Linked DNA regions of Xenopus tropicalis. The protein of the gene in region 2 purifies or fractionates together with the protein of the main gene of each other region. This does not show direct contact. Links are inferred from orthologs where the notes say so. Each region holds a gene or a part of one and is shown on either strand. Other genes may lie near its edges. The genes, in order: ccdc12, crnkl1, dhx8 and ppie.

The links.
Region 1: the proteins of crnkl1 (region 2) and ccdc12 purify together in Homo sapiens (co-immunoprecipitation; 3 studies listed by BioGRID and IntAct, with this or other methods). This does not show direct contact. The link is inferred for Xenopus tropicalis from reciprocal best matches to the Homo sapiens genes CRNKL1 and CCDC12.
Region 3: the proteins of crnkl1 (region 2) and dhx8 purify together in Homo sapiens (affinity purification with mass spectrometry; 3 studies listed by BioGRID and IntAct, counting the BioPlex papers as one, with this or other methods). This does not show direct contact. The link is inferred for Xenopus tropicalis from reciprocal best matches to the Homo sapiens genes CRNKL1 and DHX8.
Region 4: the proteins of crnkl1 (region 2) and ppie purify together in Homo sapiens (affinity purification with mass spectrometry; 3 studies listed by BioGRID and IntAct, counting the BioPlex papers as one, with this or other methods). This does not show direct contact. The link is inferred for Xenopus tropicalis from reciprocal best matches to the Homo sapiens genes CRNKL1 and PPIE.

The regions. Positions count from the first base shown.
Region 1 is NC_030682.2:12,606,228-12,614,195, reverse strand, and holds the start of ccdc12 (coiled-coil domain-containing protein 12), read left to right. Parts: upstream 1-2,723; 5' UTR 2,724-2,724; coding exon 2,725-2,802; intron 2,803-5,774; coding exon 5,775-5,836; intron 5,837-6,668; coding exon 6,669-6,748; intron 6,749-7,815; coding exon 7,816-7,877; intron 7,878-7,968.
Region 2 is NC_030681.2:36,932,022-36,939,449, forward strand, and holds the end of crnkl1 (crooked neck-like protein 1), read left to right. Parts: intron 1-230; coding exon 231-401; intron 402-1,273; coding exon 1,274-1,465; intron 1,466-1,814; coding exon 1,815-1,874; intron 1,875-2,164; coding exon 2,165-2,245; intron 2,246-2,821; coding exon 2,822-3,061; intron 3,062-3,728; coding exon 3,729-3,830; intron 3,831-4,832; coding exon 4,833-5,081; intron 5,082-5,215; coding exon 5,216-5,386; 3' UTR 5,387-5,497; downstream 5,498-7,428. Other genes in the region: naa20 (N-alpha-acetyltransferase 20), read right to left, coding at 6,962-7,047. UniProt on the Homo sapiens protein: Involved in pre-mRNA splicing process. As a component of the minor spliceosome, involved in the splicing of U12-type introns in pre-mRNAs.
Region 3 is NC_030686.2:20,714,417-20,721,844, forward strand, and holds part of dhx8 (ATP-dependent RNA helicase DHX8), read right to left. Parts: intron 7,336-7,428; exon of another isoform or gene 6,315-7,335; intron 6,226-6,314; exon of another isoform or gene 6,036-6,225; intron 3,634-6,035; coding exon 3,561-3,633; intron 3,384-3,560; coding exon 3,298-3,383; intron 2,727-3,297; coding exon 2,632-2,726; intron 1,936-2,631; coding exon 1,639-1,935; intron 1-1,638.
Region 4 is NC_030678.2:91,049,496-91,057,366, reverse strand, and holds the start of ppie (peptidyl-prolyl cis-trans isomerase E), read right to left. Parts: upstream 4,949-7,871; 5' UTR 4,919-4,948; coding exon 4,834-4,918; intron 4,744-4,833; coding exon 4,645-4,743; intron 3,061-4,644; coding exon 3,017-3,060; intron 2,557-3,016; coding exon 2,530-2,556; intron 899-2,529; coding exon 817-898; intron 730-816; coding exon 629-729; intron 447-628; coding exon 323-446; intron 1-322. UniProt on the Homo sapiens protein: Involved in pre-mRNA splicing as component of the spliceosome. Combines RNA-binding and PPIase activities.

The DNA.
Region 1 (7,968 bases), on a different chromosome or scaffold from region 2:
TTATTAAGGTGTGTATTATACTGTGTATGTTTTTTATTTCGCAAATTCTTGCACCTGCAGGTGTGGCTTTTTATTTACATTGGATTATAAGGGATGTTTGTGTGCACTGTATATATATATATATACTGTAATGCAGGGGCAGTGAGTAACTAGCTATGGCAAGGGAAGGGTTATACGCTACCCCCACCCATCAGCTTCTGTAATAGGAAAAGGTGTGAGGTATAATGTCAGGGGTGGGGGTGAGTCACACAGGGGTGCGTAAGGCTGTATTGGTGACGCAAACACTAACATGAATGGGGTACGGCCCGGGGACACGGCTCCTTGGCACACCTGAGATAAGGTGAGGGTGGGTCCTGGCTTCTCTGGGGGAAAGAATGTATATGTTTAATGCAGCAAGTGTGCAAGTGTTTTACTGACATGGATATCTCCCCCCCCCCCCCCAGCTGCTGCCATAACACAGCCACCTACCTCTGCCATAGGCACAACTTGAGCAATTCTACTTTCCAGCTGTTACACCTGCCTCCCCTTTTGTCTCACCCCCTCCTGTTAAGAAAGACTAAACAGAGTGCAAATTGGGTGCTATAAAGGCGCCGCTAGTAAATTCCTCACATGTATATGTAGGTGTGGGGGGGGGGCTGATCAGCACTAAATACCTGCCCCAAGGCTTTGATCAGGGATTAGTGATAATTTCTCCATTGACATCAATGGCTCTCTTATACTAAAACATTAACAGACCAAAAACCCTGAATTTTAGATATTTGGCACAAGGGAACAGAATCATGAATTATTATTAACATTTATTTATAAAGCACCAACATATTCTGCAGCGCTGTATGGCATATTTATCATACCATACCCCCCAACTGTCACGCTTTAAGCAGAACAGTCCCGCTTTCTATAGCTCGTTCCGCTGTCCCGGATAGTTCCCTGAATGTCCCGCATTTTCGTAATAGATTACGAAAATGCGGGACATTCATAGAAGGATCCGTGACAGCGGGATGAGCGCTCCGACTCCTTGCGCTGCTTCTCTCCTGTGGCTCCTTCGGCGGCGCTCCCTGGCCCTTTTATAAGGTTGCGCCCGTGCGTAATGACGTCACACGTACACACGGGGCGCAACCTTATAAAAGGGCCAGGGAGCGCCGCCGAAGGAGCCACAGGAGAGAAGCAGCGCAAGGAGTCGGAGCGCATATGGGGGCTCTGTGTATGGGGGCCTCTGTGTTTGGGGGGGGCCTCTGTGTTTGGGGGGCCTCTGTGTATAGGGGGCTCTGTGTATGGTGGGCACTGTGTTTGGGGGGGCACTGTATTTGGGGGGGCACTGTGTATGGGGGGCCTCTGTGTATGGGGGGCCTCTGTGTTTGGGGGGCCTCTGTGTATGGGGGGACTCTGTGTATGGTGGGCCTCTGTGTATGGGGGTCCTCTGTGTTTGGGGGGCCTCTGTGTATGGGGGGCCTCTGTGTATGGTGGGCCTCTGTGTATGGGGGGCTCTGTGTATGGGGGGCTCTGTGTTTAGGGGGCCTCTGTGTTTAGGGGGCCTCTGTGTTTGGGGGGCCTCTGTGTATGGGGGGGCACTGTGTTTGGGGGGGCACTGTGTATGGGGGGCTCTGTGTATGGGGGGGCCTCTGTGTTTGGGGGGCCTCTGTGTATGGGGGGGCACTGTGTATAAAGGGTACTGTGTATGGGGGGGCTCTGTATGAAGGGCACTGTGTATGGGGGGGCTCTGTGTATAAAGGGTATTGTATATAAAGGGTACTGTGTATGGGGGTACTGTATATGGGGGGGCTCTGTGTATAAAGGGTACTGTATATAAAGGGTACTGTGTATGGGGGGTACTGTATATGGGGGGGCTCTGTGTATAAAGGGTACTTTATATAAAGGGTACTGTGTATGGGGGGGTTCTGTGGGCTTCCTTAGGTAGTACAGTATGAGGGAATAGCACATTTGCATCTGATCCCACCATTTCAACTATATAAAACAAGTATTTTTAGAAATCAATGGGGTGTGTTAATTGGGGCGTGGTCACAAAAGTGGGCGTGGCCAAAAATTTGCTGCTCTTTGTTTTTCAAATGTTGGGAGGTATGATCATACTGTGTAAAAAGTGGAGTGAAGCATTACAGGTGATGTTGCCCATGGCATCCAATCAGCAATTAGATTACAACAGTTAGAAAACCAAAGCAAAGCATCTGATTGGCTGCTATGAGCAACCTCACTGGTAATGTTTTATTCCACTTTCTACACAGCATGATTAATATAAAGTTAGTTACATACATTGGACATACAGAGTAACATATGAAGCAACCAATAACCGATACAAGAGCCCTGCCCAATAGAGCTTACAATCTAAAAGAGAAAGGGTTGAGACACAAGGTGTGGGAATAAAAAGGAGGTAAATGCTGAGGGGGCAAAGTGTACTTTCATTCTTGCTGCTGACACATTCATTAGACTGCTAGTGCTTCCGTACAATCAGATTTCTATTAGATATCAGAAATACGTGTTAATAATAACCATCATCATCGCATCCTATAACCTGACGGGAAATTATCGATGCGCTCTGCGTTCCATTGCTTCCCCCTCGCTATACCGCTCCGTCCTTAGAAGATTGATGCGGAGATCCTTCGGCTGTCGATTAGCGTGGGCTGGCGACTGGTGACGTTTCGCGTTCCTACTGGCCGGCTAGCGCTTCCTGATTGGCTGTTGCTAGGACAGGCCGCAGAGCATTGTGGGAAGATGGAGGGAAGCGTGGGGAGGTTGGAAGTGGAAGCTTTGCGAAGGAAAGAGCGGCTGAAAGAGCTACGGAACAAACGGGTATGGAGGGCGAGTTATATTGAGGGAGCTGGGATATACTGGTGTGTACTGGTGTATAGGTATGGGGAGGGGTAAGGCCGGCCGGCCAGTGAAGCTGCGTTCCCTTCTCTCTGTGGGACTCGGATGTACATTATTCTGTTCCTCAGGGATGTACAGCGTGTAGCCCTCCGGCTGTGCCATTCTGCATGGGTAGGGCTGCTCTGTGTATGGGACTCACTCCCCCGCATTAGGGGTCCGGGAACTTCCGCTACTGGATGGGCTGTTACTGGCTTTCCCAGTGCTGGCAGGGCCCTGGCACCGGAACCTTTTATCTATCAACATTCTTATTGTAGCTTTATAGCTGTGAGACAGACACAACGGGGCTTAGACTGTTAGGGGGAACACACACTGGGCTACTTAGTAGCAGCTACTTTTTCCCCAACCTTTCTTACTCGGGAGCCACAGTCAAATGTAAAAAGACTTGGGGAGCAACACAAGCACCATAAAAGTTCATGGAGGAGCCAAATAAGGGCTGTGATTGCCTATTAGGCAGCCTCTATGCACCCTATCAGCTTACAGGGGCTTTATTTGGTAGGAAATCTTGTTTTTATTCAACCAAAACTTGCCCCCAAGTCAGGAATTCAAAAATAACTCCCTGGTTTGGGGGCACTGAGAGCAACATCCAAGGGGTTGGGGAGCAACATGTTGCCCCTGAGCCACTGGTTGGGGATCACTGCCATAGACAATACTGAGAATTGCCTCTTCTAAAACACACAGAGACAATTATCAGTAAATGATCAGCATTGTCTATTTTAGTAGCCGCGACAAGTAGCTGCTACTAATAGCTCTGTGTGTCTTCACCCTTAGAGGATGATGGGAGATGTAGGCCAGAGAGCTGGGCAGCTTTGATAGGAGACTCATTGTCTCAATGAAAAGTCTGTATTGCCCTCACTATACAGAAGCAGCTATCTTTGTGCCCTGACTAATGCCCTCCTACAGGGGGTGCTGTCCCTGCTGTATTACATTGTTACGGTGGCTATACATGGGCAGATATAAGCTGCCAGTTTGAGTCCTGTAGACATTTATGGCAGCTTATCTGTCAACTCCCCCCCCCCACGTCCCCCCGATCAATATCTGCCCGAAAACCAGCCAGGTGTTGATTGGGCAGGTCTGATTAGGGGAGCACATTGGCTCGTTGATGTGATCCTTGTTCCATGGGCTCCTATTCCTGTTGTTGTAATTCAGTTGTTTGGCCCTCGGGACCAAATGAGCCTGATATTGCCCAAATGAGCCTGATATTGCCCAAATGAGCGGATCTGAACATGTATGCTCGTTTTGGGTCATTTTCACAGGCGTGGGACATTTTGGCGCCATTTTCACAGGCATTGTGGGACATTTTGGCGCCATTTTCACAGGGATTATGGGTATTTAAGATTTGCACAAGTCACTATTTGTTACCCAATAAATTGAAAGGGCAGTAAATGACATCGTTATACTTTTAGTTTTAGTTGCCCTTGAATCAAAATATCCCCAAATGTAACCCTATGACTGCACACCATTATTCCCACAACTGCCCTGCTCCCCTATACCTGAACTGGAAAGTAACTTGCTGGCTGCCATGTTTGGCCACTTGGCTTCCTGTCACAGTAAATGGCAACCCCCCGGAGCATGTGTATTTAGAGCAGGGAACAGACCGGCTCCCAGCCCTCGTTCTTGTGGCCAGGGAGTGAGGGAGAGGAAATCAAGTGGCCAGACAGGGGACAGGGTGGCTACCAACCAGTGCAGAGCAGCTCTGCCTTTCCAGTGCATGTATGGGGGGGGGGGGCATTTGTGGGAAAGGGGGGGGGGGCAGTTTCCACCAGATTCTTTAGCCCATAGCAACTAAATGAGCCATGACCTCCCACTTATTCTACTTCTGTATTGTCAAATAGGAACTGCAGAGCAAGAATGGGAAGTCAGCAGCGAAAATATTTGTTTCCATAAAAGCATTTCCCCCCCCCCCCACCCCCGCAGGAATGCTGTTTATTTTGGAAACATTTGCACGTTTATGAGTGTTACAGAAATAATATATAAATAATACAGCTGGCTGGCACGCAGAGGGTAAAGCTGCCCCGGGTTATTACTGAATGAGGCTTTGTGTTGCTACACGTGGCACAGGGGGGGGGGGCTCTATTTATCCTCCCAGAGCCCTTGTGTTGCCTGTTTTGTGCCTGATTCTCATGTCCCACAATCCCCGTGTCCCACGGAAGCAGCTTGTGGCATTGTACAAGGGCATCAGATAGTGATCAGCCGGGTGTCACGTTACTCTGCTGCCCGCTTGTGTCATGGTGCAACACAAACCAGTTCTTGGGAATACAACGTGCGGCTCGTTTGCAGATGTAACGGCTCCTTATAACCCAGTGGGGTCAGTTATTAGTTATTGTGTGAGGTCCTGCAGGACTGAAGGGGTTAAAATACATACAGGCTTCACCCCAAGGACATTAGCCACTGGGGGACCCAGTCCCCCTTATTGATTCTTAGAGATCTAAGTTCTCTGTACTTTCTGCTCCTGAGCTGCTCAGAACTCTGGGCCCAAGTTCTGAATGGAAAATGGACTCAAGTACCCCAGGGTAGGGGTAGTTCCTGTCATACATCATACCATCATATTTATGTCCTAATGGTGCTTGTATATAGGGTTCAGTTACATCAATGAGTTAAATACCAGTGGTAGGTATCTGTGGAACAGTGCCATCTAGTGGCCAGGTGTATGTGCGACCGGTGGGAGAAGTAATGCTAAGCAGTTTCCTTTTATATGTGACTGATCAGAGATTTGGTATGAGTGTTTGTATGGAGTGAACCCATCACCCACTGAGCTACTGCCACGTATGGATCATTACACAGTGGATCCCATGTAGCACCCAGTGATGCTCCCTTACAGTTCATATACAACCAGCTCCCCTTTAGCCAGTAAGTCAGTCTATGGGGCTGTAACATTGTCTCCATTCCATTTGCAGCAGAAAGATGAAGGGGAGCCTGAGAATAAGATGCGCGTGGGAGAGGAGGAAGAACCACACAGGTAAGTACATTTCTCCCTCTCTAACCACTAACTGCCGCCGCTTGTTTTTCCAGGTGATTTCCATAGCCCCTGACTAAGTGCCCCAGGGCATGAAACGTGTAGGGGTTATGGAGAGGTTTTAATGTAACTTTGAATAAAGCCTGTATGCCCACAGTGATTGCTGATTCCCATAGGAACCAATGGAGGGTGATTATGGGTGCCTTGAAGCCATGTGGTTAGGCCACGTTAAATAAAAAACTTACTATCTCTGTGAGTGCCATTACCCATAAGTCTCTTGCCTGCCATGGTGTTAGATTGCACTTACCAAACCGGCTCTGTATCCGGTTTTGGATAAATACTGTCAGTAATTGATTTTGCACGGCCCCATGGGAATGTTTCACTGACTCCTCATTCAGCTCCCCTGCTAAGGGGGCAATTGCTTGCTCGTTAGTACAAACAAAGCGTAATTGACTTAACGTGGGGTGGATGTCACATGATAGTGCAGCGTGTATAATTTCCATGATCAGAGAACAATCAGTGGTATCTGTGTATAACCAGGAATGTGATGCACTACTCACTGTACTGTAACAGAATATATATAATATACTGTACTAATTGGCTTCTCTAGCAGTTTGTCGTTCCCTTTAATATGCATTGGGCACCGCAGGGCGTTGTTGTTTACTTTGCTGTGTTTGATGTGTTCCCCCCCAAGCAGCTGAGCCCATGAATGAGCCCCTCGGCAGTCATATTACAGTATGCCCCAATGATTGGGCCTAGGGATTGGTTGTATAGATGGGACACTGATAACCCCCAGGCACTGGAATATGAAATCCTTATCCCTGTTGTTCCTTAGGGAGCTGAAGCTGAGGAATTACACCCCCCAGGATGATGATCTGAAGGAGCGGCAGGTACCACAGGCCAAGCCAATCTCAGGTGGGTTATCTTTCCACTAAATCATATATATCCCACTGGGGGCTATACATGTATCATATTATGGATGATGGGCCAGAAGGTACTTTATTGTTATTGTCATTTAGCAGTGAATTGGCAAGTTGTGAGTGCAGCCCTATCTGCCCTTGGGTCCGGATCATTACCTGTGTAGGGAATACTGTCATGGGAAGCCATGTTTAAAAAAAAAAACAACCCATCAGTTAATAGAGCTTCTCCAGCAGAATCCTGCATTGTAATCTGTTTTTAGAAAGTACAGATGTTTTTATATTTAACTCTTTAAACACCTGCACAATTTCTCTCACTTTAGGGGCATTTCCTGGGGGGGGGGGTTGAGTTTACCTAGGAAAACCTTGTTGTCTTTGTTTTCTTTTTTCAGAAGACCTGGAGCTTTAAATCTGCCTGAGTTTTTGTGTATTTCCACTCCTGGAACAAGATTTAGAGCTCTAAATACAAAAGAAAAAGAAAACTGATATTTTTCATGATACAGAGATTTATGCCAGAAACATATTTTGTTTTATGGACTTAATTTCAACTGATTCAGAAAGCCTCATGTCTCCCAAACACGCCAATACCTGATATGTATCGTTTTATAGAGATTTCTGATCTTTAAAAGTACCCATTCTACCAAAACCAAAATGGGTAATAATGTCTTTTACCAAACAGCAATGCTTTTTTAAACTTAACGGTTTCTACAAAAATGTTTGAAAATTCTAGACCCCCCCCCCCCCGGGCAAATCAAAAATGGGCACCCATGTCTTTCTACTCCAAACTCCGGAGTCGCAATGCTTTCCAAAAATACCTGAAAATCGCCCCAAAGCTTCCAATTATCTCCCACAGAACATTAGGTACCAAGAAAAAACATCCTAAATATGAAAGCCAAGGGCCCACTGAACAGATTATCTAAGTACCTGGCATTTAGAGACCCCAGAAGGAAGTTGGTACATACATATTTCATGGCAGTATCCCTTTAAGACAGATAATAGCGTGACAGCATTGAAGTCTATAATATGCATTTTCCTAATCTAACCCTGTGTCATTGCACCCTCTAGTGGAAGAGAAGGTGAAGGAACAGCTTGAAGCAGCCAAGCCAGAACCAATCATTGAGGAAGTAGTAAGTACACTTTGTTTTGTCCTTGGGCAATAAGTTGTTCATTTCATCCCTAACGGCACAAAAGTTCAAAATCTCTGGAACCTAGAAGTTG
Region 2 (7,428 bases):
TTTCTCTACATAAAAATGTGTTTACTCTTCCAATTTGTTTTAATTCTAAAAACTGCCACATTCCCAACAAACGGGTGAAATAGAATGTAATTTAGGTCCAAGGAGACCAGCCTGGGATGATGATGTGCTGTTTGTCATCTGGTGATAGAAGATGCAGATGACATCTGTAACTGTGTTAAAGTTCCAACAGGATTACATCCTATTCAGCATGTTTATTGTTCTCTACACAGTTTGAAAGAGTCCGTGTCATCTATAAATATGCTTTGGACAGAATATCAAAGCAACAGGCCCAAGAGTTATTCAAGAATTACACTATTTTTGAGAAGAAATATGGTGACCGGAGAGGTATTGAAGATATTATAGTCAACAAACGGAGGTTCCAGTATGAAGAAGAAGTAAAGGTAAGGGAGCAATATTTTATGCAACACAGAAAACACAACTAGGAGTAAGCTTGCAAAGACTAAAGCTATTTAGTTGACCAGGGTCAAGTAGGCTATACACGTACTTATAGTACTTAAACCAATTTAGGGTGGTTCTAGGCATTTGAACTGTTTTTAGTCTGTTTACTGCTAGATAATGTTGTTAGGAACTCTATTCTAGCAACGGAGCAATGTGTGTATAGTTTTAAGTAGATTTAACCGATTGCCTGCCATAGATCAAATAATCTTAAGTGCCAGCAGTCAAGAAGCTGACCTCAAACACTACAGATTTTTCTTTTCTTGATGTGTGTGACTGGCAACATGCCGCAGGTTAATTGCTTTTGAAAGTGACCGACCGACTTGCCCCTCTATCATTACTTTTATGGTGATAGTAAATCAGTACCCAAACACTGCTCTGCCCATAAGTTTAATGTGAAAGATCAGTTTAGCACACATGGCCCACAGTAAATAGAAATACTGACTGGCACCACAAAACTGTTTTGTTTTTTTTTGTTTTTTTAACATGTTTCTTATGGCATAACCTGAACAGTAGTCCTTGGGTAGTTTCCATTTCTTTGCATATTACAGTATATAAATTATTTTGAGCTTGCATAGTTTTTCTAGTCTGCACTGCACTATTTTTTGTATAGGATAGAAACAGAATAGGAAGTAACAAACACTTGTGCTGTCCGAATGTTTGTGACACAATGAAATGAGCTTTAAATATGTTCGTAATGAATAACACAGCTGCAGTTGGTCACATCTCATGCCAGAAGAGCAATTCAGCAATAGGTAACAAAATGGCACAAGATGGAGAAATCACTTGATAAATATACAAATGTCTTTCTCCCCAGGCAAATCCTCATAATTACGATGCTTGGTTTGATTATCTGCGGCTGGTTGAAAGTGATGCTGATCCTGACACAGTTCGAGAAGTTTATGAACGGGCTATTGCCAATGTCCCACCTACAAAGGAGAAGAGACACTGGAAGAGATACATTTATCTGTGGATAAACTATGCCTTGTATGAGGAGCTAGAAGCAAAGGTGAAAAAAATTGTAATCCACAAGAAACTCTTGTAACTGTGTAATAACCTAGCATCCTGCGCGCACCAGACATTCTTTGTCTGCATATTTACATTGAATTACACTGCACATTTTTGCCCGCTAGATGGCAGTTGTGTGTCAGACATCTCTTAATGCAGAAAACAGTCTGAAAAACATAGATCATATACACTTTATAAAGTGTGATTATTATGACTGGATCTGTTGCATTTCCTTTTATAAAAGCAGCGTGTTATAGGAAAAAAAGGAATAACCCTAAACCAAACCAAATTTTTTTTCACTTAGCTAATGGACAGATTTTAATGGTTTTTTTACATACTTTGAATTTCAGGACCCAGAGAGAACAAGGCAAGTCTACCAGGCCTGCTTAGAACTAATCCCTCACAAAAAAGTAAGAGTCTTTGTAATTGTTTGTTTTCCATGAGCCTTATGTCATTTTACGAACTAAATTCTAGTCCTAAATTTGAGGATTTGCCTGTAGCTAGGCAGAACAGCCCACTCTTCAGCCGCTGTGCACAACACCAGGTAGGGGTGAATGCTGATCTGCCTCACGTGATAGTAATGATCTCTGCACAGGAGTGAGAGATTTTGTTGTTTTAATTATGTCTTCAGCCATCTTGAATTTTAACTTAAAATATTAGGGCTCTTACTGCTACTTGTTAATCTAGTTTTATTTTACAGTTCACATTTGCAAAAATCTGGCTGATGTACTCACAGTTTGAAGTCAGACAAAAAAATCTTCCATTTGCAAGAAGAGCTTTGGTGAGTACCATCAAATACAGGGAGCACTATTTTCTATCCTAAGACTCGCGGTGATATTAAAATGTTTGAAAAATCTATTTTTATCTACCCCAATATTTGTCTGTATCCCTGTTGCTTAACCTTGGGTTCCCAGATGTTGCAAAACTACAACTTCTAGTATGCCTTGACTCTATGTGGACGAATACTGGAAGTCGTAATCCTGCAACTTATGGGAACCAAATGTAAAAAAACAGTTTGTTCAGATAGTTAATCGTGTCATGGAGTTTCTGTAAAAATCTATAGCAAGATGGGTAATTACAAGTAAATTAATGATTTACATCACAGTATTGTAGTTTTGTTTCCCATTAGTGATTGTTGCTTGCCACAGATCAAAGAACTCTTACAACTCTTTTTGAGTGTAAAAACTTTTCAGAAATTTGTAGAGGTTTCCAGCCTTATCCGGGGGGAGTTTATTTGAATATTTTATTATATTGATGAACCAATGCTGGTAAATGGGCCTAGTGCAGTTCCAAAAATAATTGTTTTTCCTGTTACTAAGTTGAATATATGTAGATAAGTAATGCCTTAATCACACAGGGCACATCCATTGGGAAATCTCCAAAGAACAAACTGTTTAAAGGTTACATTGAACTGGAGCTGCAGCTAAGAGAATTTGACCGTTGCCGAAAGCTTTATGAAAAGTTTCTGGAATTTGCCCCCGAGAACTGCACAACATGGATAAAATTTTCAGAGCTGGAGACTATTTTGGGTGACGCTGAACGAGCTCGTGCAATATATGAACTGGCTATTGGACAGCCACGACTTGACATGCCTGAGGTATGAAACTATGCCTGTGCTTTTACAGGACTCTCAATTTTTTACTTGTTTTTACACTAGATTGGTGTAAATGTATCAAGCTGCCCTAACAAAAAAAAAAGTCTGCCAGTAGGGTTTGTTCCTATTTTTTACCTATACTGCCCCCTATTACCATACAGGTAGGAGACCTGGCATCTTGTGTTTTCCATGTTAACTAAAGGATATTTAAACATTAAGTAAATACAATATTAGTTTGGAACAAGTACATAGTACTGTTTTATTGTTAGACAAAAAGGAAAACATCCTAAAAGACTCCATTTTAATCAAGTAATGGAAATATATGGGAGATTGCTCTTCTGTAATTTGGAGCTTTCTGGATAATGGATTTCAGACGATACCATACCCTGAAAAAAAAAAACACCCAGCAGAGTAGCACAGCGGTGTTGGTCTGGCCAGTTGACACCCTTTATCCGGCTTGGTAATGGTTGTAGAGTGACTGTGTTGCTTTGACTGAGTGTTATTACCGAGGGTTGCAATAGTAAATGTTCCTCTAACAAAGCATAACTACTGATTCTTTAGCGAACGGTTTCATTCTGTAGTGCTGAAGGTCGCCATGGTATTTGACTACTATTTATATGACTGTCTCAGACTTCCCCTTATAGCTGCCTGCTCTGTGTGATATTTGCAGGTGCTCTGGAAATCCTACATTGATTTTGAAATCGAACAAGAAGAATTTGAAAAGACTAGAACCCTTTACAGGAGGCTTCTCCAACGAACACAGCACGTTAAGGTATTTCACTTAAGATTCAATTTTCTAGCATATTAAGCACATAAACATTGAGGTCTCTGCATGCCACAGACTTTGGTAATTGGGCATCAAACTATTTAAGAATACCCCTGTCCTTCATATTAAGGATGATGCTATTATGTGTGAGAGAGAAGATAAGGTACAAGGTTTGAGGCAGTTTTTTTTTTTTTCATTAAAAAAAAAATCAACTTGTAGTTTGGAGTAGAAAGACGTATTTTGCTAAATTCAGTAAATGTGTAATGTGTTAATTTTCGGCGTGGGGGCAAGAAATCTTCACAAAACAGATTTATTATTGGCACAGTAAGGAGACTTGTAGCTTTCCAAATCAGTTTTATTTATATGCATATTATTAAATATAATTTCCCTGTTTATAAAGAAATATCTACTTTTTATAATTAAGTATTGAGCCGTATATAATAAATATACTGTCCTTAATTTGCATTAGATTACTGGCTCTCCAGTCACCATAACCACAAAATGTGCTCAGGCAATAATGCATGGCGCAGGTTTCACTCTGGGCCCCTTTATTGGACTTTATATGGTCCCTGACAGATCCACAGTAGAAGGGGGTAGCCAATCACAGCCCTGCAGTCACACAGTGGTGAGATCAGGATCAGGTCACCCTAGCTAATGACTGGTTCCTATCCTACAGTGCAGTGTGCCGAGTGCCACCGGCTCCCCTGCACAGCCTGGGAAAGGAGGCAGCAGGGAGTGGAACAGACTAGTAGGGTTTTTGGAGAAATTTTTAATCCGCCCGAAACACATTCCTTCTATATTTAAAAGCATATATGCACTGGCATATTCTTGTTTTTTTTTTTTACACTGCTCTTTTAAATGTAAATTAAGAATATATAGTCTTCAGTTATCTAAAAGTGTCTGAGCAAAAGTAGCTTTCCCATGAGCTCATTCCAGCAGGTGATGCTATATTTACCTGGTTTATGTACAGTGTTACCGTTTTTTATATTTATAATTTACCCTCCTTAGGTCTGGATTAGCTTTGCACAATTTGAATTAACTAGCAGCAATGAGGACACATTGGGAAAATGCAGACAGATCTATGAAGAAGCCAATAAGAGTCTAAGAAATTGTGAGGAGAAAGAGGAGAGGCTGATGCTGCTTGAATCTTGGAGAAACTTTGAGGAGGAATTTGGGACAGAATCCACAAAAGAAAGAGTAGCCAAACTTATGCCAGAGAAGGTCAAGAAGAGGAGAAAACTGCAAGGAGAAGATGGGGTAAGAGCTTCCCTGCCTAGCATGCTACCCTTAAACCCAAGTGTATAAATGGGTTTCCTATTAATACCTTTGTTTTGTATTTATCTAATTGCAAACTCACTTATTAATCAATAACATTTTATTTTTTCTACCAGTCTGATGCAGGATGGGAGGAATACTACGATTATATCTTTCCAGAAGATGCCGCCAATCAGCCTAATCTTAAACTGCTTGCAATGGCCAAACTTTGGAAGAAACAGCAGAAAGAGGAAGAGCAGACTGATGAACCGGATCCAGATAAAGACATTGATGAGAGCAGTTCCTGACACTGATTTTTCCAGTGTCCTTGCTTTGTTTGTACATAGTGCCACTTACCAGTGACTCTCACAAGGCTGCTTTTTTTTAAAAAATAATAAATAAAACCTGTCTGAATATAATTACATTTAAAAGGATTTAATCTTCATTGTTCTATAACAGTGGGAATCACTGCCTGTAAAGAAATGAGTAGGACACATGGGTAATATATCTGATAACTCTCAATTACATAGGCTGGGGAGGGCAAAAAATGAAAGCACATGTAAATGTGATACTGTAATTATTGTCTATTCCAGGAAAAATCCTCACACTGAGTTGCCTTTACCCTTATGGTTTAAATGACTAGTAACGCTAGTAAATGCCCTTAAACAGTACCAAATAATTTTTATTTAGGCGGTCAGACAGTATTTGCTTTGCAAGCTAATATCTCTGACCCTTAGTTTTTACTGCCACAATTCCTATTAATAGTCAGAAACTGGAACACAGATCTATAACAATCATTCAATATAAACTCAAACAGCAGCACATTTTATTCTGCCTACATTTGCCCCATCAGCCATTTACAGCGTCATTACCTTGTTAGCACCTGAAAACTGCAGGACATCACAGAGAATGCAGTGCAGCCATCCATGGAAGTTACACATCACAGGAATCATTTACACTGGATTCTTAGGCAAAGGTACATAATTACATCTATCAATTGTTCTTAGTGCAGCAGGAACATACACATTTCATAATCACCAAATAAAAAGGCTCTCTGAAATTCTTACTATTGCATTTTAGCAAATAAAGTAATGTTATGTACATTTTTCTGTATACTGCGCTGACAATAACCTGAATGAGAATGCTGCCACTCTCCAAGCCATATGGAAATGTCACACTAACACTACCCTAATGGGCATAAATCTACATGACTTGTGATGTTGCTCATGGCAACCAATCAGCAATTAGATTTGACCTGTCACCTTGAAGTTAGAAAACAAAAGCAAAGATCTGATTGGTTGCTATGGGCAACATCACCAGTGACATTGCCTTACACACAATAATAAAAATGCCCCTAAAAGTTAGGGACAGGCTGTAAATGGCTGTAAAAATGGCAATTTCAGACAGGAAATAAAAAGGAATATACAGGAAAATTCTACATAGAATACAATCCTAGATACATGTCGGTATTACTTTAAAAGATGAAGCTTATAAAATGCATGGCCCTCCAGTCCTAGGACACAACTCAGCAGCAAGCTGTAAATGGTCTGTAAAAATATGGATTACAGTCGGTGACATGCACTGCCAGCTCTGGTCACATTTATATTTGTGTCTGCCAGCAATATGCCTTGGAAAAGTAACTGGCCAGGTATAACTTTCCTGAATAAGAACCGACTTTACAGTGTAAGAGGCAGTAGATTAAATAGGTGTGTTTTATAAATAAACAGAAAAGTAATTATGCGTCTCTAACCATTTACTGAACTTAACTTCTCCGCTAGGAACTGTGCATATGGCCTAGCAAGCCTCAGACTGGTGTTGCTGCTTTATAGAATATGTAGATGAAATTGTCTTTTTATGACTCTGCCTAAGAACCACAGCTAAGGTTATTCAATGTCTTCTGGTCTCACAGGATGCGGTAAAGGTACAATAGATTTCTTCTCAGTGTCTCTCGACAGAGCTTTCCTCATGTCTAGGGAAACAGAAGAAATGGGTTATATCCTTATTTATTTATACATCACAAAAATATTAGGGACAGAAGACAGTAACATATTTATGTAACTTGCAGGAACAGGAGTATCTGCTGGATAACCATTTCAAATACATGTCCAGTGGACAAACATATTCCAATGTGGACTATTCTATGCATGATTTGAACCAATCCTCTACTGCCCACATCCCACAAAAAAATAAACAACACAGGCAGTTTTTAGATACTGTATTAACATTTGCATTCAATTTGATGCCTATGGAGTAATCCTTTAAAGAACATGTACACCCCACACACAAACAAATAATCAATGAACAGCCTCTTTGAAATCTTTTAATACCTGCCACACTGGTTTTCCAGAGG
Region 3 (7,428 bases), on a different chromosome or scaffold from region 2:
GGCCCAGCCAGAGCCCAGACCTAAATCCGATTAAAAACCTGTGGGGTGATCTGAAGAGGGCTGTGCACAGGAGATGCCCTCTGACAGATTTGGAGTGTTTCTGCAAAGAAGAGTGGGCAAATCTTGCAAAGTCAACTCATACCCAAAAAGACTGAGTGCTGTAATAAAATAAAAGGTGCTTCAACAAAGTATTAGTTTAAGACTGTGCACAATTATGCAACCACATTATTTTAGTTTTTTTGGTTTTCTTCCCTCCGCCTAAAAGATTTCATTTTGTTTTTCAATTGAGTGGTACAGTTTATAGGTCACATTAAAGGTGGAAAAAGTTGGAAAAAGGTGGAAAACACTATCACTGTCCCAGTGGGTCAGGACGTCATCATGATGACGTCCTGACTCTCTGGGACAGTGATAGTGTTTTGGGCGGCAATAACTCCTTTTTACAGCAGCGATCGGTTAATATATCTCCTCTTTAAAGCAGCGGTCGGTTAGTATATCGCTCTCCAGCAGCGATCGATTGATATCTTCTCTGCCTATACCCATGGTAAGCCCTGTCCGTTTTGTTAGAAGCTGTCTTACTTCACTTTCTGCTATTGCAACACTGTATCCAACTCCTGACTCGCTACTTTGACTGCGAGTATATGTTACACTTATTTGTTTCGCTTTTGTCTGTCTGCCTATCCTTTTAATCTCCCACTAGTAATCAACTATACATTTCAGTACTTTTATTTGATCTTTCACTTGTGATTTTTATTTTTCATGTTGTTCATTTTCATATGCTACTTGTGTATAGGGGTTACCGTGGTTACGGCCGTTTTTGTGCCATTTTGTGTAGTAGGGTATTTAAGGGGTGTGTATGCACTTTGTCTTTTGGTTTGTCCCTGAGGAAGAGCACAGTTGGTGCTCGAAACGTCGGATCTTTTTCAATAAATTCTTTTTTGTGTCCCTATGTGTGCGGTACTCTGTTTATTGCATTTTTTTGACCAGCACCTAGGGCATTCGATTGCCTGAAGGGTGTGCTCCTTTTGTTTCTATATAATAATATATATATATATATATATATATATATATATATATATATATATATATATCTGGCCACTCCTGAACTAAGGCATTCACTTAGCATAGTGAAATGCTTGACACCTCTGACTGGGAACATACTCTGTATAGTTTTTTGCAACAGTTTTTTTGCAACATGTATCCATTTGCTTACTAGCTACATAATTTTAAACTTAACCTTGTTTTCTAGCACTGCACTCCCATTCCATTTGCCTGTATATGTTGACATTTGAATTTATCCTGCTCTGGTGGGTGTGGGGCTTGTGCACGCTGGTTGCCATGGTTACTGTGGCCGTTTTTTGGCGCCATTTTATGTGGTGTGGGTAATTACTGTGGGTGTTGGGATATGGTCTGTTGGCCTGTCCCCTCAAAACGCTGGAATTTTTTCAATAAAAACACTTTTTCTTTTGTATCAAGTCCCTGTGTGTTATATATATATATATATATATATATATATATATATATATATATATATATATATATATATATATATATATATATATATATATATATATACACACACACATACACATACATACACATACATGTATATATACACATACATATACAAACTAGATTTACCTTAAGCCTTCCAGCTGGACAAAGCAGCCAAACTGCATGATACTTGTCACTTTGCCATTATATATGTCCCCAATTGCTGGCTCTTCAGGTGGCGGTCTATCAACATGCTTCTCTTTCCAAGAAGGGGCATATTTATCAGAATGGTGTTCGTTGTTACGGTGCTCCTTAATGGGGCTTCTGCTTCGTGATCTATATCTGTCTTTTGTTTTTTTGCTGCTTTGGGACCTAGAGCGAGATTTACGTTTGTGTTTGCTGCCTTTCTCCCGGCTTCGACTGCGGCTCCTCTTTTTTTTATCTCTAAGGAGAAAATAATTAAGTAAATTCTAAATATCTATCAAGAAAATGCATTCTATTATTTTAAAAGATACATATATTTTTAAATATTTTGTCATTATTTTGATACTAATTTACTATTGGGGTTTTTACACTAACCATACTCCCTTTCAAAAAGGGCAATTTATTTAAAGCTTGTTATCTAGCAGTCTTTGAGCACCAAAGAACCACTAAATACTCTTTCCCTGCCAAATATAGCAATTGCTGCTAGTAAAACATCTGAATCGCTTTATTGCACAACATTGCGTTCCTATGCTCATATACCCCAGTGAGAGGGCTCTGTGTGTAACTGTATCATGTTTTGTTATAAATGAGGAAAAATACAAGGCAATAATACACTTTTCCCCATATGTCATAAAAGGCACTAAGTTTGCACAGGAGCAATAACCCAAAGCAACCAATGAAATATCAGCTTTTAAACAGGTGGCCAGTAAATTCTAGCTGCCGATTATTTGCCCTGGGTTCCAGTTCTTGGGCACATTTTGTGCCTTTTGTTACATAACCCTTTAATTGTAGTGAAACTAGCCCAGTATTTCAGATTACTGTAATTAAAGGAGGAGCTAAGCATAACATGAATTTCTAACATTTTAGGAAACCCTGAGCAACTTATCAGCTAACCCAGGCATGAAAGACATTCGTTCATAGTTTGCAATGACATACTTGTGTTTGCTACTTCTCTCATCCTTGGGCATTAGAGCTTCAAGTTCTTGCAGTGCATCTGCAGCCACTTTTACATCATCAGGATCTAGCATGGTCTGTATGGTTATAAACAAAATATCTTAAAATTAGAAAAATGGTGAAACATAACAATTTGTTACTAACATCTCCAAGGCTGGGCCCCTAACATACTAGCTACTATGGATCGCCATGCCTTAAGCCTACAAAAAGATATTTAAAAACATTATAAAACAAGAGTGCTTGCCAACAGTATGGATCTATGTAGCTTTTACCCCACTTCCCACAAGTTACATCAGCCTAAACGTGGCCATACACAGGCCGATAAAAGCTGTCTGAGTTTGCAGCGTATCGACACATATACAGGGCCCCCAGGTGGCCCTGCCCAACCAATATCTGCACAAAAATCGCCCAGACGTTGATCTGACAGGTTAAAAGCAAGTTGAGGCAAGGAGCGCAACGGCTCGTTAATGCAGTCCTCACCCCCTTTAGGCGCACCTATTCTATTTTTTCAGCTATTGATCAAATTAGCTTTTTTAATTTATTAATTTCCTTATTACTAATAAAAAACAATTTGTGAAAATTCCATAATCCCCAATAATGTGTTTGTTAGGCTTTTTCTTTAATGTTATTTATAGGGCTTGCACTCACCCGGACACTTGGATTATCTGCCCTGCAAAGTGCGGGAAATAACTCTTTCAGCTTTTCTTTTTCATTCTTTGGCTTGATCACTGTTTCTATTGATGAACAGACATAATAGATTAGTATCATATTCAATCAAGACCAAAACACACTGTAACCCTAATAACCCCAAAGAGAATCAAATAAGACATACATAAGGTAAAATTCAAGGGTTCAACATAGTAAATGTTATACAGATATTACAATTTAATCATTAAGCCTTGTGGACTGACCTTTGCTTGTAGAGGGTTTTGCTGGAGGTCTCATTGTCTGAATCAGACGCAACAAATTGTTTATAAGGGAGTCCTGTAGAAGGTGATAAATTTTAACCAGAATCAATATCATGATTCTAATTTTAACAGCAATAAACTGTTAAAGCAAAAGGGTGAATATCAGGGCTAATTTTCACCAGATATCTTATCCAAATTAGAATACAAAAACAAAATGTATTTATGTACTACAAAGTCCTTTAATCATTTTTCAAAACCATATACACCAAGAATTTAACTGCTTTACAAAATCTATTAATACAATCTGTATTTCATCAGTGACATTGAAAGATCAAAATCATTTTCATATTTAGCTGATGTACATTAAGGGGCATTTTTTTTTTTATATTTTTTTTTTAACAAATTTTCATGACAAGCATAATTTTTGTAAATTATATACAAACATTAGCATATATATTTTAGCAGAATAGTAGTTACATTTTTCTTTAATTACATCAAATAGAAGGATGTTCAAAGTGTCAGACCTCATTTGTGGTAATAAAATCAGTAAGATACTTGTAAATAAAGTAAACAAGGAAGCACTTGTATAGCTTGATTAAATGAAACTTAATTAAAGGAGATGTGTGGGTAACGTATCGCCATATCTATACCTTATCCAGGGTTCCCATACTATTTGGAATTTTTTAAGTCTGTCTATAGTGACTCTTGTTATTAGCATTATATTATGAAATTTATCATTGGGGATTTCCAAGACTTTGCTATCTTTTGTCTAGCCGCTAGAAATATATGATTTAAGAGTTTTTGTTTGTTTTTAGGGACCTTAGTGGAAGGTAGTCCCATGAGGGCTTCATATGGGTTCTTACGCAGGTTCAAATGCAACACAGAGAAAATCATATTGTAAACTCTCACCCAAAATCTGATTGCTTTTGGACAGTGCCACCATATATGGCCCATGGTTCCAGGAGATGAACAACCTCTAAAGCAGGGATCCCCAACCTTTTATGCCTGTGAGCCACATTTAAATGAAAAAAGTGTTGGGGAGCAACACAAGCATGAAAAATAATAGGAGCTACCGGCATGTGGGGGGAGATCAGCGCATAAGTAGTAGCATTGTGGTCCCAAAGAAATAATGTGTGTGAAAAAAGAGCTTCTGCCGAATAATGATATGCTAGATGATTTTCTAAATCAATCCATAATGGTGGAGCTGATTGAATATGAAGTTATTTGGGCTAATTGTGAAGCTAAAAAATATTTTTTGAGGTTAGGAAGTCCCAATCCCCCTTCCAGCGGCCTTCTTTGTAGTGTTGCTTTATTCACTGGGCCGTGAATTTAAATGGTTACACACTTTTTAGGAGGGACAGAGAGATTAAAAAGGGTGGAGGGGTTTGTCTTTATGTAAAGTCAGATTTAAAGCCATGTAATAAAGACATTACCAATGAAAACGTATCTCTTTGGGTAGAAATTTCAGTACAGCTGAAGGTCACAAAGAAAATGATCATTGGTGTATGCTATAAACCCCCCCCGTATAGATGAGGGGGATTAGACCAAGTTATTGTTGCAAATGGAGGAGGCTTCACAACTGGGTCAAGTTGTTATTACGGGGGACTTTAATTATCCGGTCATTGACTGGAGTAATGGGGTGGCCAAGTCAGAAAAAGCTAGTAGGTTTGTAAATGTGCTAAATTACAACTTTTTATTTCAGGCGGTTCAAGAACCTACTAGGAATGACTATTTTGGACCTGGTAATATCTAATAATACTGAACTCATCTCTAACATTTGTGTGGGTGAGCATTTGGGGAACAGTGATCACAACATGGTCTCCTTTGAGATAATGCTGCAGAGACAGCTCTATAAGGGAGTAACTAAAACGCTCAATTTTAGACATGCAGACTTTGCCAGTATAAGGGCATTTCTGCAATGTGTCAACTGGGAAAGGCTTTTCATAGGGTTAGACACAGAAGGAAAATGGAACATCTTTAAAACATTGCTTTGCAAGTATACACAACAGTAACAGTATAAAACAAAACCTTTATGGCTGAATAAAAGTGTTAGTGTCGAGGTTGATAAGAAAAATAACGGATTTATACTTACGTAAATTCCTTTTCCCTCAGTCCTGAAGGCAGCACTTACTAGAGAGATGACATCCACCTGGTAGGAAAACACCACACCCCCCAATTAATTACTCCACCCCCTCATCTCCTATAAGTTCCTCTGTTCCCCTCTAGCCCTCAGTGATCTTCTCAAGCAATAAGACACATACACAATGCTGATAGAATATTTACTGTAAGGGAGGGATATTGTGCTGCCTTCGGGACTGAGGGAAAAGGAATTTACGTAAGTATAAATCCGTTATTTCCCTCACGTCCCTTGGCAGCACTTACTAGAGAGAGTTGAGTAGCAGTACGTCAAGGGGGGGTATTTTTACAAATTGAATAAAGCACCGTATTTGCGAACGCCACTTCCCCAGGGGTACCTACGTTCAGTCGGTAGTGCTCTGCAAATGTTCTGAAACTTGCCCACGAAGCTGTTCTACATATCTGGTCCACTGACACGCCTCCAACTTCTGCCTGTGAGGCTGACACTGCTCTGGTAGAATGTGCCTTGAGGTTTGGAGGTACTGGCTTCCCTGAAGCAGAATAGGCTAAGGATATTGCCTGTTTTATCCATCTGGAAATGAAAGATTTTGAGGCACGTTTCCCTTTGTTCTTCCCCCAAAAGGAAATGAAAAGGTTATGAGATACACGAAAAGGTTTTACCTTGTTTAAATAGAACAAAACACATCTTCTGGCATCCAGTAAGTGTAGCTTTCCCTCCACTTTATTTCTTGGTTCTGCAAAAAAAACTGGAAGAATGACTTCAAAGTTTCTATGAAAATTAGATGAGACTTTAGGTCTAAACAAGGGATCTGCTTTGAGGATGATCCTGTCTGGAAAAACCTGTAGACACGAATCTTTACATGATAAAGCTTGCAGTTCTCCTATGCGTCTGGCTGAACAAATTGCCACTAAAAATACTGTTTTAATGGAAAGATGATACAGGGAAGCTTCTTCCAAGGGTTCAAAGGGAACATTTTGTAAGGCTCTTAACACAATGTCTAAGTCCCAATTTGAAGTTAGGTTATTTGTTTTAGGTCTAATATTTTGAACAGCCTTGACAAATCTTTTGATCAATGGATGCTCCGCTAAGGATATGTTCTTGAATGCTGATAAGGCCGCAATGTGCACCTTAAGTGTATTTGGAGCTAATTTTTTCCTAAAGCCATCATGTAGAAAATCTAAAATGATTGACACTGGAACGTCTTCTGGAGTTAGTTTCTTATCTGAGCACCACTTCCTGAAATGAGACCAAATTCTTTGATAAATTTTATTTGTAATTTCTTTCCTGCTCTGCAACAGGACTTCAATGACTGGTGCAGATATCCCTTGTGCTCTCATAACATCCCTTTCAGTCTCCATGCTGTGAGCTGAAGAGCTGCAGGGTTTGGATGAAAAATTGGTCCCTGGTGTAAGAGATTTTCCTTCACTGGAAGGGGCCAAGGAGGACTGACAGAAAGTTGGAGGAGGCTGGAGTACCAACTCCTTCTGGGCCAGGCAGGAGCTATTAGAATCACTTCTGTTGAGCAAAGTGCAACTTTCTTGATCACTCTTGCTAACATAGGGATAGGTGGAAAAACATATGCTAGGCTGAAATCCCATGATTGGGCTAGTGCATCCACTGCTTCTTCGCCTTGGCCTGCTGTAAGGGAAAAGAATCTTTGATGCTTTGCATTGTACTTTGAGGCCATGAGGTCTATTACTGGAGAACCCCAAACCTTGCAGATCTGAAGAAATGTTTCTGGATCTAAACTCCACTCTCCGGGAAGTATCAACC
Region 4 (7,871 bases), on a different chromosome or scaffold from region 2:
TCACACCCAATCTTAGGACATAAGAGATAGAAAAGCTAGCAGGGCACAAAGAAGGATCTATTGTTGAGCTTATCCACACAGCTTACAATTAACATAAAACTATGAGGCTGATTTACAAACATAGATGATAAACTGCACAACTGTAGTAGCTAATAGCAACCAATCTTTGCTTTTATTTTCTAACTTGTAATACACAGTTCAAAACAAATTGGTTGCTACTGGCAAGCTCACTTTACCACCTATATTCTTGTAAATCAGTTCTTATATGCATAAGAAATAATAACTAAGAGCCAAAGCAACCCAAACGTTTGGAAACACACACCTACTGTCATTGGAACAATATCGGCTCTCAGCAGGAATCGAATTCGTCCAGCAGGCTTGTTCCCAATTTTGATGTCCATGTAGACTTGTGGATTTGCTCGAACTTTTTTAGGAGGCGGTTCTCCCTGTTACAAAACAGCCACAACACAACTGAATGTGAAAAAATGCCCTTTTGCATTTATGTGCATTTGAAGTACCAGAGAGGCTGCAATTATAAAATGTTCCCACTTTTTTTTTTTTTTTTTTTTTTTTTTTACAGATGTTTTGACTATTTGCCTTTCACCTCATTTGCACAAAATCCATATACCTCTTGTGTTACAGGTTTTGGGGCTTCCACCCCTTCGCCTTCTTCATTCTCTTCCAGTGTTTTTCCAGAGAATTTCTTCAGCCAGTCATCATCAGACCATACTACAATGAAGACAGTAAAATTACATACATAGCATGAAATTTCACAGGTTTTCACTGCATCTTGCACCTTCCTAATAACCAACCTACCAGCCTTGGATGACCCTTCTTTTAATCGCATAGGCTTTGCCAGGTTGACACGAATTGTTCTACCAAACAGTTCTGATTCATTCTGCAAATTCAAAAATGTTGAATTTTAAATTAAGAAATTCAAAAGGTACAAAAAAAGTAAATTCTGCAAGCTTTTATGATACTAAGACCCATTTAGGGTTTTTACCTCTGTCAACACTGCCTATTTACTAATTTCTTGCAAATACCAGCAACATTTAAGTAGGTGAATATGCTTTAAGTACATTTATAAAAACCTATTTGTCCAACATCTGGATTTGATGTAGTAATAGTCTTTTTTTGTACAAAAATACATTTTATTGTATAGGTGTGCTGAGTGCCATACATCAAATTTGGCCCCTCCTGTATCACTATAAAGCCCAAAGGTAATCAAATTTTGGGGGATACCTTGACGGAGGAACCCAAATAAGTGGATAGCAGATGCAACCTGAAATTAGGATGAAATTGAGGGTACGTGCTGGCCTTCAAACTGTTTGGATCCTTATCCTGAAGCCCATTATCCAGAAAGATCTGAAGTACAGGAAGGCCATCTCCCTTGATTTTAAGTTTTTAAAAAACATTTTCCTGTTTCTCCGTAATAATAAGCCATGTTGGAGTGTTGGCTAAGGTAAGTATCAATGGGCAGGGGGCGACTTTGAAAGGACTTTTGTCCAGAAATACTTTGGTGCTTCAACTCTTTAGTAATATTTACATGATCTTATGGATTTTTATAGGAACGTGTCAGTATTGCTTTAAAGTATGTTGATCCAAATTACTCAAGGTAATGTATTTCTACGCAGCTTGCATGTTGGGCCAAAAGGTCTAAAAAATAACTATTATAGGATACTATGGGTTTGATTTACTAATACATCTGCTAATTTGTTACACGGCAGTTACCCAGAGCAACTAATACTATCTTTACTTTTTAATTTGAAACAGGCTGGTCAAAATGAATTGCTAATTGTTTGCTGTGTGTAACTTGACCAGTGCTATTTAACTCTAGCAATTTAACAAAGTCTTATGTACATATTTACATTTTTTTGCTGTGCAAATTTAGCTTTATAGATAAAGGAAATTCATTTTGGCATTTAACTGCCAATACATTTGCCACATTAGTGCCACCTAGAACACCATATTTATTCTTACCATACCTGAGTAAAGATCCCTAGAAGCTTTCTCTGTTTGTTTAAGATAGCAGCTGCCATTTTAAGTAGCTTCCTACTTGCAGCGCTAGCTGTTGTAGCTCAGATTACACATTCCTAAAGGGTGGGGGTAGTTTAATGCATTCTTATGAACAAAGAAGAGAGGAGAGAGCAGACTCTGGCCCAGGAATGAAGGATTTTTCTGAGAGAGGAAGTCAGATACCCAAGAACATGTTCACAAAAAAGGAGACAAGAAATCCTGTGTTTCTTTTGATAGAAGACCCAGTGTAGATTTTTTGGTAGTGCTTATGGCTGTATTTACATAGAACTTTGGTAAATCTTACTTAGTACTTACCTTTGCTTCTCCAGCTTATTTATATAAAATGCATTAGACAAACTTCTAAAGCAAGTGATGGTTAACATAAATTGATATGTATATTAAGTATTAAATTACAGAATTGATGCTTTGGGACTTGCTAGCATTTCTACAAGTAAGACAGTATAAAAGGCCTAAGCACAAATTAAGTGAATAAACTACATAACCAACTCTTACCATGTTATCAATTGCAGCAGCTGCATCCTGGAAAATGGAAAAAATGCAACATTAAACAAAGATACATTCAATTGAAATAAATAATATATATTGGGCGCTGACATTGTTGGAATTCAATGTTCATCTGGGAGAAATTAGTTTGGCATACCTGACACTTTGGGCTGAACATAGCTACAGCTATCCTAAGCGAGGCCAACTGATAAAAATTGTTTCTATGTATATATAATATACATTCGTGACAATTCAGATAACATTTATGAACGTTTTTACATAAACCCAATACTTATATATTTTATTTCCTTGTAAAACCTGATTGTCCGTGTGTGAGGCACTAATTACTGGCATGTGCAATAATAGCTGCAAATCAGGCAAAAATTCTGAATTGATCCCCAGAATGAATTGCCAGAACCCCATCTCCCTCATGCACCCTAAGGGAAGAAATAGAGGATAAAGAATCCACCTTGTATAAGTTATTTTGATAACTGACCTCTGGAAGCTCAAACTCCACAAATGCAAATCCTCTGTGTTTTTCTATAAGAAAATAAGACCACCAACCATTAATACCCATACAAAATGTTGTAAACATAATTCTTTCTCAGGAGAAGCAGGAACACAGAAATCATACTAGAATGATGAACATTTAATATCAGAGAAAATATGGACAGATAAAATAACCCACAGCATCCACCCATAATTCATGGGTATGGGATAATGGATCTTTCAATAACTTGGATAACCATACTTTAAGTACACTAAAATCATTTAAACATTTAATAAACCCAATAATTTTTAATTATTTCATTAAAATGGGAGTCTATAGGAGATGGCCTTCCCGTTTCAGGATAACAGGTTTCTGGATAACAGATCTCATAGCTCTACAAATATTTGTGGTTCGTGTTATTTCTTAACCATACATGGCAAAGCCTGAAAGTGAAATTAAGACTGATATCAACTTCCTGGTTCTTACGAGTTGATAAACTCAAATTACCAGTACAATGAGATGCCCTCTATACAAACACCTACCTCCTTTCCCCAGCTGCAGTCTTTGTTAGGCTTTGAGATAAGGGGCAGCTCATTATACAGAAGGCTTATCGCTGAACTGGTAAATTGTTTTAAGAATGTAAGAATTGTGAAGCTAGAATTACTCTTGCATTCAGTTACAATATGTATTTTGAAATGTGCTTGTAATGGGTAGCTTAAAGGGGATATGTTGTGTAAGAAACAAGAATGTGCCAGTGCATTATACTCCTCTAGATATAGAAGAAATGTGCTTTAAAAGTTTTTTAATGAACTTTTATTGAAAATTTCTCCAAAAACTGTGCTGGTTCTGCCCATTTGTTCCTTGCTGCTGCCTCCTTTGCCAGGTCGTGCTGACTGCTGCCAGCTACCCTGCACACTGCATTGTAGCTTAGGAACCAATCAGCAGCTAGGCTGAGCTGATAGGGAACTGAAGCCTATCTTTGCCTGTGTGACTGCAGGGCTGTGATTTGCTGTCCCGCTCCTACTGTGCTTGTGGCAGGGACCATTAGGACACACCAACCCCTCATTTGAAACATGGACAGGGACTTTAGTGGAGCTATGGGGAGATCCAATAAAGGGGTTGTTTTAAAGATAATTATAAACTTTAGCTTAGAGTGAAACAATATAAATAATTTTTGCCTACAAGACTGAGGGATTTACAGTCATGTTACATATCTTCCTTAAACAGTGCCTGTGACCAAAATATTTCAACAGGTGCACTATACATGTCACGCCCATAAGGCCAGTTTGTAATATACTACCTTAGTGGATTTATGCATATTTAATATAGCATCATAGCTAAACTTGTCATAGCTGCAATACCTCTAAAAATAGCCAGTCTCTATAAAAATACATCATTTAACACAGCTTTTTCATGAAAGCTATACTTCGCTAGTAGTATGTGCCACTAGATATTTTCACACAGAAAAGTTGTAATTTTAATTACAAAAGTTCACCCTCGAATGAGAAATGTCACTCACACACAAACCCAGTTGCGAGACAGGCAGAAAAAGAAACTGGTGTAAATTAGATATGTGTATATAAATCCCCATGATCTTAAAATGAGCATAGTGGTGCATTAAGTTCCATACTTACCTGTTTCATAGTCTAGAGGTATCTGAATATCAGTAATATCGCCAAAAGGAATAAAAGCTGCATGCAGGATTTTTTCATCCACCTCCTCTGCAAGCCCGCCTGTTAATCACATGAATGAACAAGTTTTAGAACAGAAATTACAGCAGGAAAAGTTAAACAAAACATTTTAAAGACACTTCTCGCACTAACAAGCCCCCGTAGTCAGGAAAATATCGTGCAGCTCGGTGCCCGGATTAACAGATGGGGGTTGCAGCCCCACTATCCACGTGAACATGGCTGTCTCTCATGGCTTCTCTAGGTATTGCTACAAATAGCAGCAAAATGCTAAAGATTGCGCTCCATTTATTTTGCACTACTAACCCCGTACCTCTAAAAGAAGAAAATGCAAATGTAAAAAAGTACTAACCCACGTACAAAACTCTCTTAGTAGCCGCCATATTGCTGACGCTAACCTTTACCCTATGACCCTTACGTCACAACGTCAGCCTTCCTCCTCTAGGAAAGCGTAAATACGATGTAGACTAAACCACGGAACTCTATTGACAATGCGGGTTAAACGGATTGAATTCTAGTGGGCATTACTAATCCGTGGTATACAGGTAACGGGAAATCTAAACTCTGCTTTTGTTACCTGATGTACTCAAATACTTGTCGCCATTCGTCGGTTGCAGACATTTTGTTGGTTACAGCAGGCAGCAGATGGCGTTGGTTACATAAAAAAATAATAATATTATATATTGTCCTTTGATGGCCATTTCTAAAGTCCCGAAAATGGGAGACGTTTGGAGACCTGGCATTCTGCATCTGTAAGGCGGAGAGCTACATCTTCTGGCCTTAGAGAATAATGCTATGATGAATTTATCTGGGAGGCGTCACCCCTGGTGAACAGAACTCCGCAGCGCTTTACAGAGAGTCTGCATCATTCACTTCATCATCATTCACTTTATCAGTCACTGGCCCAGAACAGTTTAAGGTCCCTATCACATATTGTAGAGACAATTTAATCCTAAAGTAATTACATGCTGGTATGTTTATGTTTTTTATGTGGGAGTATACTCAGGACTCAGCAGAAGGCAGCACTGCTACCCACTGAGCCACCATGCTGCCTGGGCACCTGAATACAGGGCTGCTCCTGCCAGGAGGCAATGTGAGAACCTTGCTGTAGGCAGCAGTGAGTGGGCATGTACCAGGGGTGGCAAAAAGCCACCTCAGGTAACTTTGAGCTGCATTTCTAAAAATGGAGATTGAGCTCATCTAGTGCAGAGAGTGATATTCGATTGGGGGGGTCAGTGACCTCCATTTGATATAGTGATGCTGCCCCCCCAGGACCTGCTCCAATGCTGAAGAGGTAAACGCAGAGGGGGGGCGGCACAGCAGCCTTAAGATCGCTGCTGCCTGAATAGAAAACTTCTTTAAAGGTGCCCGTACAAGGGCAGATTTAAGCTGCTGATTTGGGTCCTTAAGACGGACTCAGCAGCTTATCTGCCTGTGTATAGGGCCCTCTGACAGGCCTCTCCGACCAATTTCTGGCCTAAGATTGGCCAGATTTCAGTTGGACATGCTTGATTTTTAGTCATATCACTCTCACTTTTCCTATCCCCTTCATTGCAATGCGATCATTTGACCCAAGGGCCAAATGGTCATTGTCATGTTGGAGCAGTAAGGCTCCATAGATTTTAAATTTTCAATTTCAGTCTGGTTGAAATCCACATTTGAGGGAAACCCTTCCCAGTAGGGGGTAATTCACAAATATCCCTTAAAGACACAACCAGGACTGTGGAAGGTGACAACATAAACAACTTCATCAGACAATGCGGGATCAGCCCGTTGGGGCAGGAAGCTGGGGTCTTTGATCTGTTTATCAAAGAGAGGCAAAGTGTGGGCCTAGGAACAGCAGGGGGGGACAGCATACAGAAAATATGGATTATAGAAATGGATCCATATCTCCGCTGCTTTAAGGTCCACATCATCATAAATCACATAGGATTTATGAGGAGGCCCCAGGCTTCCCAATGGTACCAAACAGGGGCGGCCTATACCCGCCAGTTAGGAGAAATGGGTTCTGGGGGACTGGGACATGAGATCCCCCTCATGTTTGGTATCATTTCGATCGCCCACATATGGGTTAAAACAATTCCCTACTTTCATAATAATATTGAGTACTGGTAAGTGCCAATATTATATGACAAGAAACTGGCATGAGAAGTACAGCTCTCTAAAGAGGGTGGGTGGGGACCACCCAAAGGGGTCATGTGACCAGTTCCTGGGCACTCCCTCCTCATGCATAAGGTAATGAGGGAGGGGCCCAGCGGGGAATAAAAGCACGCATGCCCAGATATTCTTTAGTTCATTCTGGAGGCCGCAACTTATGTTGGGGGATGGGCTCAGGACTTTCAACCTCTTGCCTCAGAGGGCACAGGATATTTGGTAACGTACTTAGGATTTCTCTGTGTTTTTATCCCCGTTTATTTTATTGACTGTTTTGCATGTATGTTTCTCTTTTGTAACATCTTTTTAAAACTGCACTGTTTACCCTGGTAATATTAAATATAAAATTTAATAAGTTTAGTCCTTTGGCTTTATATCAATTCCCACGTACCTCGTATGACTTCTCAGGCCTAGGTGTATTAACTATTTGGTGTGTGTATGTGTATTGGGTAGAGGGCAGATTCTGTGTAGGTGCTAATTAACTAGTGGGCTGCCAGCAGGGGGGTAGGTTTGACTGTAATTTTAACCCTGTGGCTGCTAGTGTGCTGTTAAATTAGTGAGAACTAACCCTAACTGCAGTAAGAAAGTTTGTGTATGAAATATTTGGGTAATTGGGTTTCTATCGCCTGTTAATGATAGATGGTGGCAGCGAATAGTTGTATTTGGGGCGGTGGTTTGTTTGGGGGTGCTTGATGTTAGTCTAACCTGGGTGAAAGGTGACTGCGTGTAACCCCTTGTTCCCCGTCCCGGTGTCAGGCGCGTCTGTGAGTGGCATGTTCCTGAGTCATATTCACACAATATTGCCCAACCATGTATGGCCCCTTAAGGCTCTCTTGCATAGGGAGGGGGGGCCATAGGGTTAAATCTCTTACAAGTGGCAGTTTTTCTGGCGCATCATTCATATTTTGATACTACACTTTAAGGCTAATGCCACACGTGGCGTTTTTACGCTGCGTATTTTCTCAGCCTAAAAACGCTGCACAAGCCACACAGCCCCTGACTATGGAGTTTTTCAGCCT